Linked DNA regions of Canis lupus familiaris. The protein of the gene in region 2 purifies or fractionates together with the protein of the main gene of each other region. This does not show direct contact. Links are inferred from orthologs where the notes say so. Each region holds a gene or a part of one and is shown on either strand. Other genes may lie near its edges.

Evidence for each region. The genes of interacting proteins can lie anywhere in the genome.
Region 1: the proteins of RTN4 (region 2) and CYB5R3 purify together in Homo sapiens (affinity purification with mass spectrometry; 3 studies listed by BioGRID and IntAct, counting the BioPlex papers as one, with this or other methods). This does not show direct contact. The link is inferred for Canis lupus familiaris from reciprocal best matches to the Homo sapiens genes RTN4 and CYB5R3.
Region 3: the proteins of RTN4 (region 2) and ATL3 purify together in Homo sapiens (affinity purification with mass spectrometry; 4 studies listed by BioGRID and IntAct, counting the BioPlex papers as one, with this or other methods). This does not show direct contact. The link is inferred for Canis lupus familiaris from reciprocal best matches to the Homo sapiens genes RTN4 and ATL3.

Annotation. Positions count from the first base shown.
Region 1 is NC_049231.1:23,783,829-23,787,474, reverse strand, and holds part of CYB5R3 (NADH-cytochrome b5 reductase 3), read right to left. Parts: intron 626-3,646; coding exon 494-625; intron 1-493. UniProt on the Homo sapiens protein: Catalyzes the reduction of two molecules of cytochrome b5 using NADH as the electron donor.
Region 2 is NC_049231.1:57,225,271-57,229,386, forward strand, and holds the start of RTN4 (reticulon-4), read right to left. Parts: upstream 2,876-4,116; 5' UTR 2,616-2,875; coding exon 2,048-2,615; intron 1-2,047. UniProt on the Homo sapiens protein: Required to induce the formation and stabilization of endoplasmic reticulum (ER) tubules. They regulate membrane morphogenesis in the ER by promoting tubular ER production.
Region 3 is NC_049239.1:53,863,765-53,867,410, reverse strand, and holds part of ATL3 (atlastin-3), read right to left. Parts: intron 3,436-3,646; coding exon 3,308-3,435; intron 2,692-3,307; coding exon 2,635-2,691; intron 1,158-2,634; coding exon 1,086-1,157; intron 709-1,085; coding exon 277-708; intron 1-276. UniProt on the Homo sapiens protein: Atlastin-3 (ATL3) is a membrane-anchored GTPase that mediates the GTP-dependent fusion of endoplasmic reticulum (ER) membranes, maintaining the continuous ER network. It facilitates the formation of three-way junctions where ER tubules intersect.

The DNA of each region.
Region 1 (3,646 bases), about 33 Mb from region 2:
TAGATGACTGTGGCGGTGGGGACGAGTCACTAGCTTGAAGAAAAGGTGCTGGGATGGGAAACACCCGGGATCAAGGTGGGGGTAGGTCTGAGTCTTGGTTCCACCCCTAACCCACAGTGTGATGTCCAATGCTCCCCTGGTACTCTCTTGCCCTCTGTTTTCCCATCTGTTAAATGGGTGTTTCAACCCAAAAGTCCTGAGGGATCTCTCTTGTTCTGGCCTTCTGTGGGATAGAGCGTGGTTTGGAGAACAGGCTCTGTGGTCAGAGATCTGGGCTCGAGACCCTGTGGCCGCTTACTGGGAACCTTAGAAAGGGACATCGCTTCAATTTCCCCATCTGTAAGGTAGACAGACAACACGACCTACATCAGAGGGGGGCCCATGCCTTGAGCACACAGTAGGTGACAGGAAATACTGTGATGCAGCCAGGGAGGGAGGGGGAGGAACCCCCATGGGCCCAGACCCTGCAGGCCCCACGGTGTCCGGCACTCACCTCCTTGTCGATGAGCCGCAGTGGGTACTTGATGTCCGGGCTCTCAAGGGTGATGGCCGGGGTCGAGCGCTGGAACAGCTTCATGAGCAGGTTATAGAGGAACCAGACTGGGGAGAGGACCACGTGGCCCAACTGAAATGACAGGGACAGACCCATGAGGTCAGTGTCGGCACGGGGAGCAGCCTGCCACCTGCCTTTCCGGCGAACACACCAGTCGGTTCACACCTCCAGGCCCCTGGTCACGCTATCCCCTCTGCCAGGAGCACCCTCTCCTCACCATCTTCATCCAGGGAACCAACCCCAGCATCCATTTCGGTGCCGGCTGGGAGAAGTCACAAAAATCAGGCACATGAAACCTATCACTGTATTCCTAAGTCACTGGAAAAGCTCTATTTCCCAGAGGAACCAGGACAAAGAAAGCTACATAACTAACTGAGCATGTAACCCTTTTCACTTTGGCTGCCGGGAAGCTCAGAGTGAAGTTCACAAGTAATTGTGCTTAGTCTTGAGCACTGTGTATCTGTGCTCCCTCTCTCCTTCCCCCCTTTTAGTCAATTTCCCTGGTCCTGTTAAGTGATGTCAAGTGCCAGCTCGATTTAGACAAACTCCTGAGCCCTGGAGTTCTGCCTTCAGAAGCGAGGGACAGTTGAGGCAGTGAACTGGGCAGTGGGGAGCTCTGTTCCTTGTTGGCTGTGTGATCCTGGGTAAGTCCCTTCCCTCTCTGAACTGATCTAGACCATGTGATCTGCAAGGTCCCCTGAAACTCGGAGAGTCTGCCACTCAGCACCATGATGAGCCCCACGCAGGGGCTAATCTCATGAAACCTTCAGAGGGTTGTCATCACCACTTTACAGATGAGCAACAGCTCAGAAAGCTTCAGCAACTTGCCCACAGTCACACAGCTGGCAGGTGGGGAGCTGCAATTTTTTTTTTTTAAGATTTTATTTATTTATTTGAGAGAGAATGAGTGAGCGAGAGAGCACGAGCCAGGGGAGGGGCAGAGAAGTAGACTTTCCACTGAGCAAGCAGCCCGACTCAGGACTCGATCCCAGGACCTTGGGATCATGACCTGAGCTGAAGGCAGATGCTTATCCGGATGAGCCACCCAGGTGTCCTGAGAGCTGCAGTTTGAACCTGAGTCTACTTGCTTCCCCAATAACACTCTTAAACATCTGGCCCACACTCACCCTGCTGTGTGACCTTGAGAGGCTCCTCCTTGTCAGCCCCCTGCCCCCCACATCTCAACCTCACAAAGACCCTAAGAGGTGGCTTAGAGTTTTATTTTTAATTTTTTTTAAGTAGACTTTTTTTTCCCCCAAAGATTATTTATTCATTCTAGAGAGTGAGAGAGAACGGGAGTATGGGGTGGAGGGGCGGAGTGGGAGGAGAGAAAATTCCAAGGAGACTCTGTGCTGAGCATGGAGCCCCACGCAGGCTCGATCCCACAACCCCAAGATCTTGATCTGAGCTGAAACCAAGAGTTGGATTCTCAACCAACTGTGCCATCCAGGCTCCAGTTTAGATTTTTAAAAAACAGAAAACCCGACTCCCATGGCCAGATAGCTCACTGCTCAGGATATTGGAAGAGAACACCCTTGCAAAGGAAGACAACTGGTCACTTGTCCTTTCTAGCTGTGTTTGTCCTTTGGCAAATCACTTAGCCTCTCTGAGCTGTTTCTCCATCTGTGAAATAGGATCTTTTCATCTGCTTCTAACCTTGAGGAAACAGGGAGGCCCATTCTCCAGGATAACTGGCCAAGACTCCTCAAAAATGTCAATGGCACAAGAAACAAAGTAAGATCAGAGAACTGGTCCAGATTAAAGGAAGCTGTGGTTGGTTGAGTGGTGGCTCCCAAAAGATATATCCACCCAGATCCTGGGAATGTGACCTTGCTTGGAAAAAGGGTCTTTATAAAGATGCAACCAAACCAAGAATCTTCAGAGGAGATCACCTGGAATTATCCTGGCAGGCCCTAAGCCCCATGACAAATGTCCTATAAGAGAAAGAAGACTCAGAGGCTACATGAAGACAGAGACAAAGACTGGAGTGAGTGGCCACAAGCCAAGGAAGCTAAAAATTGTTGACAGCCACCAGAAGCAGGAAGAGGCAAGAAGGACCCTCCCCGAGACTTCAGAGAGCATGGCCCTGCCAACACATTAATTTCAGACTTCTGGCCTCCAGAACTGTGAGAGAATAATGTCTGCTGTTTTATGCTTGTTTGTGGTGACTTTTATAGTCCTGGGAAACCAATAGAGAGGCCAAAGAGACAGCACCGGAATGTGATGTGTGGCTCTGGATTAAATCCTGGGCCAGAAATAAAATAGTTAGAAAGGGCAATATATATATATTTTTAAGATTTATTTAATATTTGAGAGACAGAGAAAGAGGGCACCAGGCAAGGGGCAGAAGGAGAGGGAGATAATCTCCAGCAGATTCCCTGCTGAGCAAGGAGCCTGACCCTTGGGGGCTCAGTCTCACGACCCCGAGACCGTGACCTGAGCCAAAATCGAGAGTTGGATGCTCAACCGACTGAGCCAGCCAGGTGCCCCTATAAAAGGCAACAGTGAGACAACTGGTGAAATCTGAATTAAGGCCCATGGATTAGATAAGAACATTGCATCAATGTTACTTTCTTTTTTATTTTATTTTATTTATTTATTCATGAGAGACACAGAGAGAGAGGCAGACACATAGGTAGAGAGAGAAGCAGACTCTACGCAGGAAGCCTGATGTGGGACTTGATCCCAGGACTCCGGGATCACGCCCTGAGCCAAAGGCAGACGCTCAATCGCTGAGCCACCCAGGCGCCCCTCAATGTTACTTTCTTGATTTGATCACTGCTCTGTAATTAGGCAACAGAATGTCCTTGTTCTTAGGAGATACACACTAAAGTATTTAAGGGCAAAGGGGCATCGTAGCTGTAACTTATTCTCAAATAGTTAAAAGATACACACACACACACACACACACACCATAAAGCAAATATAGTGAATGTTAACACCGGGTCCATCTGGGTAAAAAGTATACAAGAGTTCTTCATACGTGATTGCAACTTTACTGTAAGTTTGAAGTTATTTCAGAAAAAAAAAAAGTGGGGGTGGGGTAGGGAGTAGCTCACACACTGGTGGTCCAGAGGCTGAGATCCAAAGTCC
Region 2 (4,116 bases):
AATTGAATGAATGAACAAACTGCTAAGAACCCGAGACTCACAGAGATGGCTTAACTATCCATGACTATAATCATGGATGTTCAGTGATTTACTAAAGCACTTAGGTTTCCAAATAGCTATCATCAATACAGAATTAGGGAACTTTATAGAGATAAGAGTCCCTGAGTAAGCAATATTCTCTCCTTTGTCTTCCAAACTTAGTATTCCACAAGTCAAAATTCCAAGAGAATGTCACCTCCTGAATCCCTAATGTTCAAAGATCAGAATTCCTCTTTGTCCCCATGCTGGAATACAAGATGAGACAAATCAGTATTCCTTTGTTAATCATTAGATTTTCCATTTGCAGATTTATCACTTTTTATTTTTCTACCTCACCTTAGTTTCTCTTACACACTTAATTCAGAAAATGAAACACTGAGTTGCTCTTCATCTTCTAATATCTTTAGTGTAATGATTTTGTGTAACGTGTTTTGAGTTACTTGTGTAAAGTGTTTTGAGTAACGCTTTGGGGTATGTCATTATCAAAACGTTATTCAGAAACATCACAATTGGCTTACTTCCCCATTGTGGAGGAATGAACTGAAAAAAATTTCATTTTCTCCTGGAAAATGAACCATTTGTAAAATCCTACAAGGAAAGCTATAAAGATCTCTCAGCAGGCAGTCACACTACCAGATTCTTGCTCTTTTATACATAAAAAGAGGTCCTACTGCTTGCTGGTAGGACACTTTCTGCCCCCCAAAATAACAAGACTTAAGCTAATAAACTCATAACTTGTAAGATTCTCCATCTCTAACAAATTTGATTTTATTCTCTTCCAAAATAAACAACTTCCCAAAAAGGAAAAGGGTAAGGAAACAATGTTCCTTTAAATATATACATACATGCAAGTACTAAAGCGAATAAAAAAAAAAAAATTTGGAAACTGTTTACAGACTACTATTGCAGATTTGACCTAAAACATGTAACTACTAAGAAAGAGTATCTCTAACCGCTACGTGAAAAAAAAATAATCTTTCTCAAAACATTAAGTCTCCTGGCTGGCTAATCCGCCACAAAGTCAATTGGCCTATTCGCGGCCAAAAAGAAAAAAAAGAAAAAAAAAAAAAAGAAAAAAGGAAAACAAACAAACAAACCCCACAGGTTTCCCTTCCCTAAGAATGTCAACCATTTTGCCTCTTTTCCTCTCCGATTCAAGAGCCCAAACCACCCTGGCAGCAAATCCTCTGGCTCAGCAGCCAGGACCCGGTGGGAGAACTGCGCCTCCTCGGACCGCGGATGCTCAGATCCCACTTCCCCGGCGCGGTTTAGCTGGGGAGTCGCCACATCACAGCCCGAGGAGACTGGGCGGTGGCAGGACTTTGCCAGAACTCTCGCCTTCCCAAATCCGCACGCGCCACACCACTGGAGGCGCTCTCCCGTCGCGGCGGCTGGGTCAGGGTGCATGTTTTCCACTGGGCCAGCTCCCCGCCAGCGCGAGTGGAGAGGGAGGGGAATGAGGCGCTGCGGGGGGGTGGGGGTGGGGGGTGACACCCAGGCCAGGGAGAAGGTGAGCGGGGGTGGGGGTGCAGCGCAGGGCTCACGGCTGCCAGACGGACCAGCCGCAGAACTGCGCCTTTTCCCTGGGAGCAACCCAGACTGGCAGACAAAAGATTACGGGCGCCAAGGCCTTTCCATCCTCACCCGGGAGCCCGGCCAGCCCCCCGTATCCACAACGCTAGCTCCTCGAGGCCAACCGAGCTCCCGGTACGGGCGGGTGCCTAACTTCCGGGACGCAGCAGGATAGGGACCAGAGGGAGGAGGCCGGGAGCAGGCGGGGTGCACGTGCTCCCCGACTCCGAGACAGACAATAAAGAACAAGCCCGGGTTTCCGCGGCCGCCCCACCCTGCTCCTGACGGCTCCTGCCAGGGGGGGCGCCTTCGCCCGGAGGTCCACGGACAAAGCCCCTCGGGGCGGGGAAGGGGGCTCCGCCCGAGGCAGCGGGGGGTGCACACAAAAGACGGAGGGGAGCGCGGGGCTGCGCGGGGCGGAGGGCGCGGCACTCACCCACTGAGCCTGAGGAGCCTCTGCGCTTGGGCGCGGCCGGCGTGGAGGGGGGCGCGGCGGGGGCCGGGGCCGGGGGCGTCCACGCGGGCTCGGCCTGGGGGCTCACGCCGGCCGGGGGAGGAGGGGGAGGCCGGGCCGGAGGCTCATCGTCCTCGGGGAGCTTGGAGGGCGAGGCTGCGGCAGCGGAGGGCAGGGAGGGCGCGGGCCCCGCGGGCGACGTGGGGCTCGGGTCCCAAGACGGCGGCCGCTCCGGGGCGGCGGGGGGCGCGGTCGGCAGCGGCCCGCGGGGCGCGGGGGGCACGAAGTCACTGCCGAAGTCCAGCAGGGGCGCGCCGGGGACGGCGGCGGCGGCGGGGGGCACCGGGGCCGCGGACAGCCCGGCGGCGGGCTTCCTCTCCAGCACCTCCAGCTCCTCCAAGTCCTCGTCCTCGTCCTCCTCGTCTTCCTCCTCCTCGTCTTCCTCCTCGTCCTCGGGGTCCCTCACGAACTGGTACTTGAACGGGGGCTGAGGCCGGGGCGGGCTGTCCGAGGACGAGGAGACCAGAGGCGACTGGTCCATGTCTTCCATGGCCGGCGGGTCGGAGATGCTGCTGCAGCGGCTCGTCTCCACGGGACGCTGCTCCCCGGGGCCGCGGGCGGTTGTGGGGGTTGGGGAGGACTGACAGGGGCCGGGCCGAGAGAGCCCGGAGACCTGCAGTGGCGACGGCTCCCGGAACAATGAGACTGCTCCTCCTGCCTCTGCGCCCGTGATGCGCCACCCGCCCCGTCCCCAGTTGCCGCCACCGCCCAGGCGAGCGAAGGAGAGAGGCCAGCCGATTCTCCGCCCCGTTTGGCGTGACTTACCCTCCCCGCGCGGGGAGAGGCAGGGACTGGCGCGGGAGGGAGGGAGCCAATCGCCTACGGGATAGAGATGACGGGCAACCATCCGGCCCAATGGAGAGACGGAAAGAGAAAAGTGGGTGGGGCCATTTGGACTTCCCCTCTCCTACCGGCTGGGGTGAGTCCGGTGGGCGGGGCTTGGAGCTGAGAGCCCCACCCTGCACCTTGGGTCAGATGCGGGGTGGGCGGGGGTCGCGGCTTTGCCCAGAGCCCGAGGGCAGCGGGCGGCTCGGGTGCCGCGTGGGCTTGCGCGGGGGCGGGCGACCTGCCGCAGGACTTGCGGGTTCCTGGCCCGCGCCCCCGGAAGGGCGTTATCCTGGGGGATTGGGGGTGGTAACTTTCCTCCCAGGAAAGGAAAAAACCCAGAGTGGTTGAAAGGTACTATGAAGTGTAGGCCCTAAGGATTTGAGTGTACGCTAAATATTAAAAGATTTTGAAATTAAAAGATTATTTTTTTAAAGCTTAAATGACTGGACCACCTCGTTACTACTACTTTCACCACCTTAAAAAGAAAAAAAATTTATTTTTTTTTTTTATTTTCATTTTTTTTGGAGAGCTTTAAGGTCGTTCTCTGTCCAAACTGCAGACTCTGGATGAGGTAGGCAAAACAGAGCAGGGCTTGGACCGTCTGGAGGACTGGGCCCATTTCAAAGTCTGCTCATCCAGGAGGGTTTGGGGATCTGCCTGCTGCTGGACTCGTACGTGGTAGAAGGATGAGTCACCCAAAGAGAGAGAGAGAAAGAGGAGGAAAGTGGAAACATAATGATGCCTTGGAAGGCAAATTTGATTCACATTACATTTCAGTCACCTTAGGCTCATGAGTCAACATTTAAGATGATTCAGGCCTTCTGGGAGTCAGGAAGCCCGGTATTCATTTGTTTGATAGGCTGGAAAGAGCATAATCTCCCCCGTTCCACTTTTTCCAAGACTGAAAAGGAAGTTTAAAGGAAAGTGGTCGAAAAAACATAAAAGTATCAGCATGCAAAAGTTTAGAGAACCCCTTTTATGTTTCTGGTATACCTTACAAAAATATTCACTGCATTCCTATTCTGGAGGCCCTGGAGACAGAGATAACTTGCTTTCAGATAGCTCACAGTCTAGGACCTCACTGTCCAATATATTAGTCATCAGGCCACTTGTGGCTATTGAGCCTTTTAAGTGTGACTGGACTGAAATGAGATATGCTGTAA
Region 3 (3,646 bases), on a different chromosome or scaffold from region 2:
GGTTAGAAGTTTCCCATGAGTAACACAGTATATCTAAGTTGGAACTTTTCACATTAGAGGGAAGTTTTTAGGCATGGAAACATAATATTAGGAATAAATATCAATATCCTAAAGGAGGAGGATACAACGTAATGCCTATCAAAAAACAAAAAATGACCAGGGGAAACTTCTTATGCCTTCTTTCACCATGAAACTCTTGCAAATGGAAATATTCTACAATAAAAACACAGATATCTGTCCTATCAACCTGTAGCCTTGTCATCTGACACCACTTACCTGCTCTAGTACATACGCTGCACCAGAATCAATTGCTCCACCCAGCTCACGATATTGACCAGAATACCTGATGTATCCCCAAGTAAGAAGTGCTATTAACAGCAGTCCAACCATACAATTGAACAGCTGGGCCACAATCTCAAGACCAACAAAGCCAGTGAGGCCTGAGGCTATGTACAAGATCACAATGCCTGTAAAAAGCACTGCAGGGGTTCGGAAGGTGCTGAAGACATTCTTGCTGCCATTGTGCTTGCAGAAGTTCTCATAGAGCTCCTTGATCTCCTCCTCTAGTTCCTGCTGGTAACGAAGGCTAAAATCCTTCCCACCCATCTTCTTGGTCTTCTTAAAATGGTCCAGAGCAAGCTGTTTGAATTCACCGTGCTTCTCCTCTAGAATGTCTGGGGACAAATAAGGTTTCTCTCCCCCACAAACCTAAAAAGAATAAAGACATAACATACTGAAGATCTCTTTGAAAACAAGTGCCCAATAAAACAAGTGAAAACACTGAAAAAGTCCAAATATTTAAGATATTAGAAATTAACTTTAAAATGATGACCAAGACCAATAAAGTCTGAGTTTACTTCCTCTGAAAAGTGCACCGAAATAAGGAGGGTGGCATTAACTGCATTGGAAGAAAGCCTTACTTAGCAACGGAAAGAACCAGAAGACCCCAATTACCAGGGGGGGCTGAACACAGTTTTGTTGTCTCGTCATCTTCAGATTCATTAAACAAGGTCAGTCTGGGCTTCTGCCGTAAGCCACAGGCCCACATTATAGCTACATCAGAATAAAACACACGCCTGGCATACCTCTTCCATGTTGTTGTAATAAATGTCTTTGGCGGAGGCTGCAGCTGCTAAATTGTTAGCTTCAGCGGTGGCCTTATAATAAGAAAAGAAAGCATAAACTCTGAATCCCTTCTCTTTAACATTCTTCCACAAATAACCAAGTGCCAATTCCCTCTCACCCTACTCCCATTCTTCCTTTTTTAGGATCCTTCTGCCATTTTTTAGGTTTCCATATAGCCCAATGTATGAGATAAAATATTCCTTTTTCGCCAAATTTTCTGCCCAAAAAAAAAAAAAAAAGTTCTGATACATAAGTCTTTATTATAAATTAAATCTCTGGAAGTATCATTCCCTTTGCTTTAATTTTAAGTGTTGAAAAAAAAATAATTTTAAGTGTTAAGAAATAGACATGGGTCAAAAAAAAGAGAAAACATTTTATATGCATTTTAAACTCTAGCTTCCTTTGTGAAAATGCTTTGCTACTAAAGAAATAAATATCTGGCAGTAAACGGCTTTATGTTTTGCACATAAAAGTCAGAAATTGGGCAGCCTGGATGACTCAGCGGTTTAGCGCCGCCTTCAGCCCAGAGCATGATCCTGGAGACCCATGATCAAATCCCATGTCAAGTTCCCTGTGTGGAACCTGCTTCTCCCTCTGCCTATGTCTCTGCCCCGCACCCCCCTCTGTGTATCTCATGAATAAATAAATACAATCTTTAAAAAAAAAAAGAAAGTCAGAAATTATGTTTTATCAAAATGACATCTTGAAAATAGCAAAATGTTGAAAATAAAAGTCATTGAAAATAAAAAACCTGACCAGTAAGTAGTAAATAAGTATGTCAGGACATGTTCTACTAAAGTAGACAGCAGATAACAGGGAAATAATTTGCTTAAGATAACTGGGCCTGGGGAAGCCCGGGTGGCTCAGCAGTTTAGCGCCATCTTCAGCCCAGGGTGTGATCCTGGAGACCCTGGATCAAGTCCCATGTCAGGCTCCCTACATGGAGCCTACTTCTCCCTCTGCTTGTGCCTGTCTCTCATGAATAAATAAACAAAAATTAAAAAAAAAAAATATATATATATATATAACTGGGCCTGTTCTATCCACAGTATGTTTGGTGGGATATAGTCCCAGTGAGGAGCCCTTCTGCTTTAACTCTGTATTTAACACCCAGAAGGCAGTAACAATGGTGAAAAATGTACTAAAAATTAACACACTTCAGCATTAACAGGCAGGGAGAGCAACAGCATTCTCCTTTTTTTTTTCTTTTTTAAAGATTAATCTATTTTTTTTTTGAGAGAGAGAGAGAGAGCGTGTGCATGAGTGGGGGGAGGGGCAGAGGAAGAGGGAGAGGGAGAATTCTCAAGTAGACCACCCCGCTGAGTGCAGAGCCCTACTAGGGGATCAATCTCAGGACCATGAGATCATGACCTAAGCCAAAATCAAGGGTCAGATGCCTGACTGAGCCACTCAGGTACCCTGCATTCCCTTCTTAAAGGATGCTGCTGCTTGTGCATGGGTCAGCAAGTAATCAAACAGTATCATTTAGGATGTCAAAGAATTGCTTACCTGAAGCATGGATTTGGGATGAGGCAGATCTTCTCCTTGATAAATTTTAATATATGCCTTATAATAGAAACAAAAACACTCATGAAAAATGTGATTCTGTCACATTTAATCATACTTTAAGTTACAGAAAGTAATATACAACTGCATTTTCCTAAAGACCTAGATCAACACCCAGGAATTAGCAAAAACACAACACACCTTTGAGTGCATGTTAGCATTTTTAGTTAACTAAATATGTTCTCAAGCAGCACGAGACTACCAAGGCTAGGAGTCCCACCAGATTCCCCATGCACACTGGCCTCACCACTACCTGTGGGCACAGTGACCATCCGCCTTGAGGTAGTCGTGTCACATCTAGGTGCCGTCTCCTCCTACTCACAGCAACTTCCTAACCACCTCCTGTCCACACCATCTTCCTTGAGGAACAATCTTCCTTTAGCCACAGTAATTACTCCTCTAAGAAAGTGCAAAGAACATCCATTTGGTTCTTAGACCGATACTGCCACCCAGTGGCCCACTCCTGGAAGGACACTGAAGGCTCTGAAAATGCCTCTCAATATCTCCCCCATGAAAATCATCCCTAAGCTTTAAAATAGTAAAATTCAAGTTAGTTTACAACCTAGATCAGTTTTACCAAAAGTCAAATATTCTGACAATTAAAATCCATATTTACCTTAAAATACTCTAGTAGCCCCCGACAGGTGACTTTGGAGCCATTGATCTCCTTCTCCATTAAGTTAGCTGGGTTTAATACAAATGGTATCAGGGTTTGAAGCTGCTCTTTGAATTCACTGGCAATATCTGTTCACAAGACCATGAAGAAGAAAACAGTCAGCTAGACAGACTTGTTCAACCAAGCGGAGTATAAAATGTTTCAACATCTGCCAGTTCAAAGTGAGGGGAGGGAAGGTCCCAACTGTGTCTGGCACCTTCTGCCGCCCATGACCTCTGTCTGCACGTATCTTTACTGTCTCCTCCCTTCTGTCCTCGTGATTAAGAGCTGCTTAGTCCA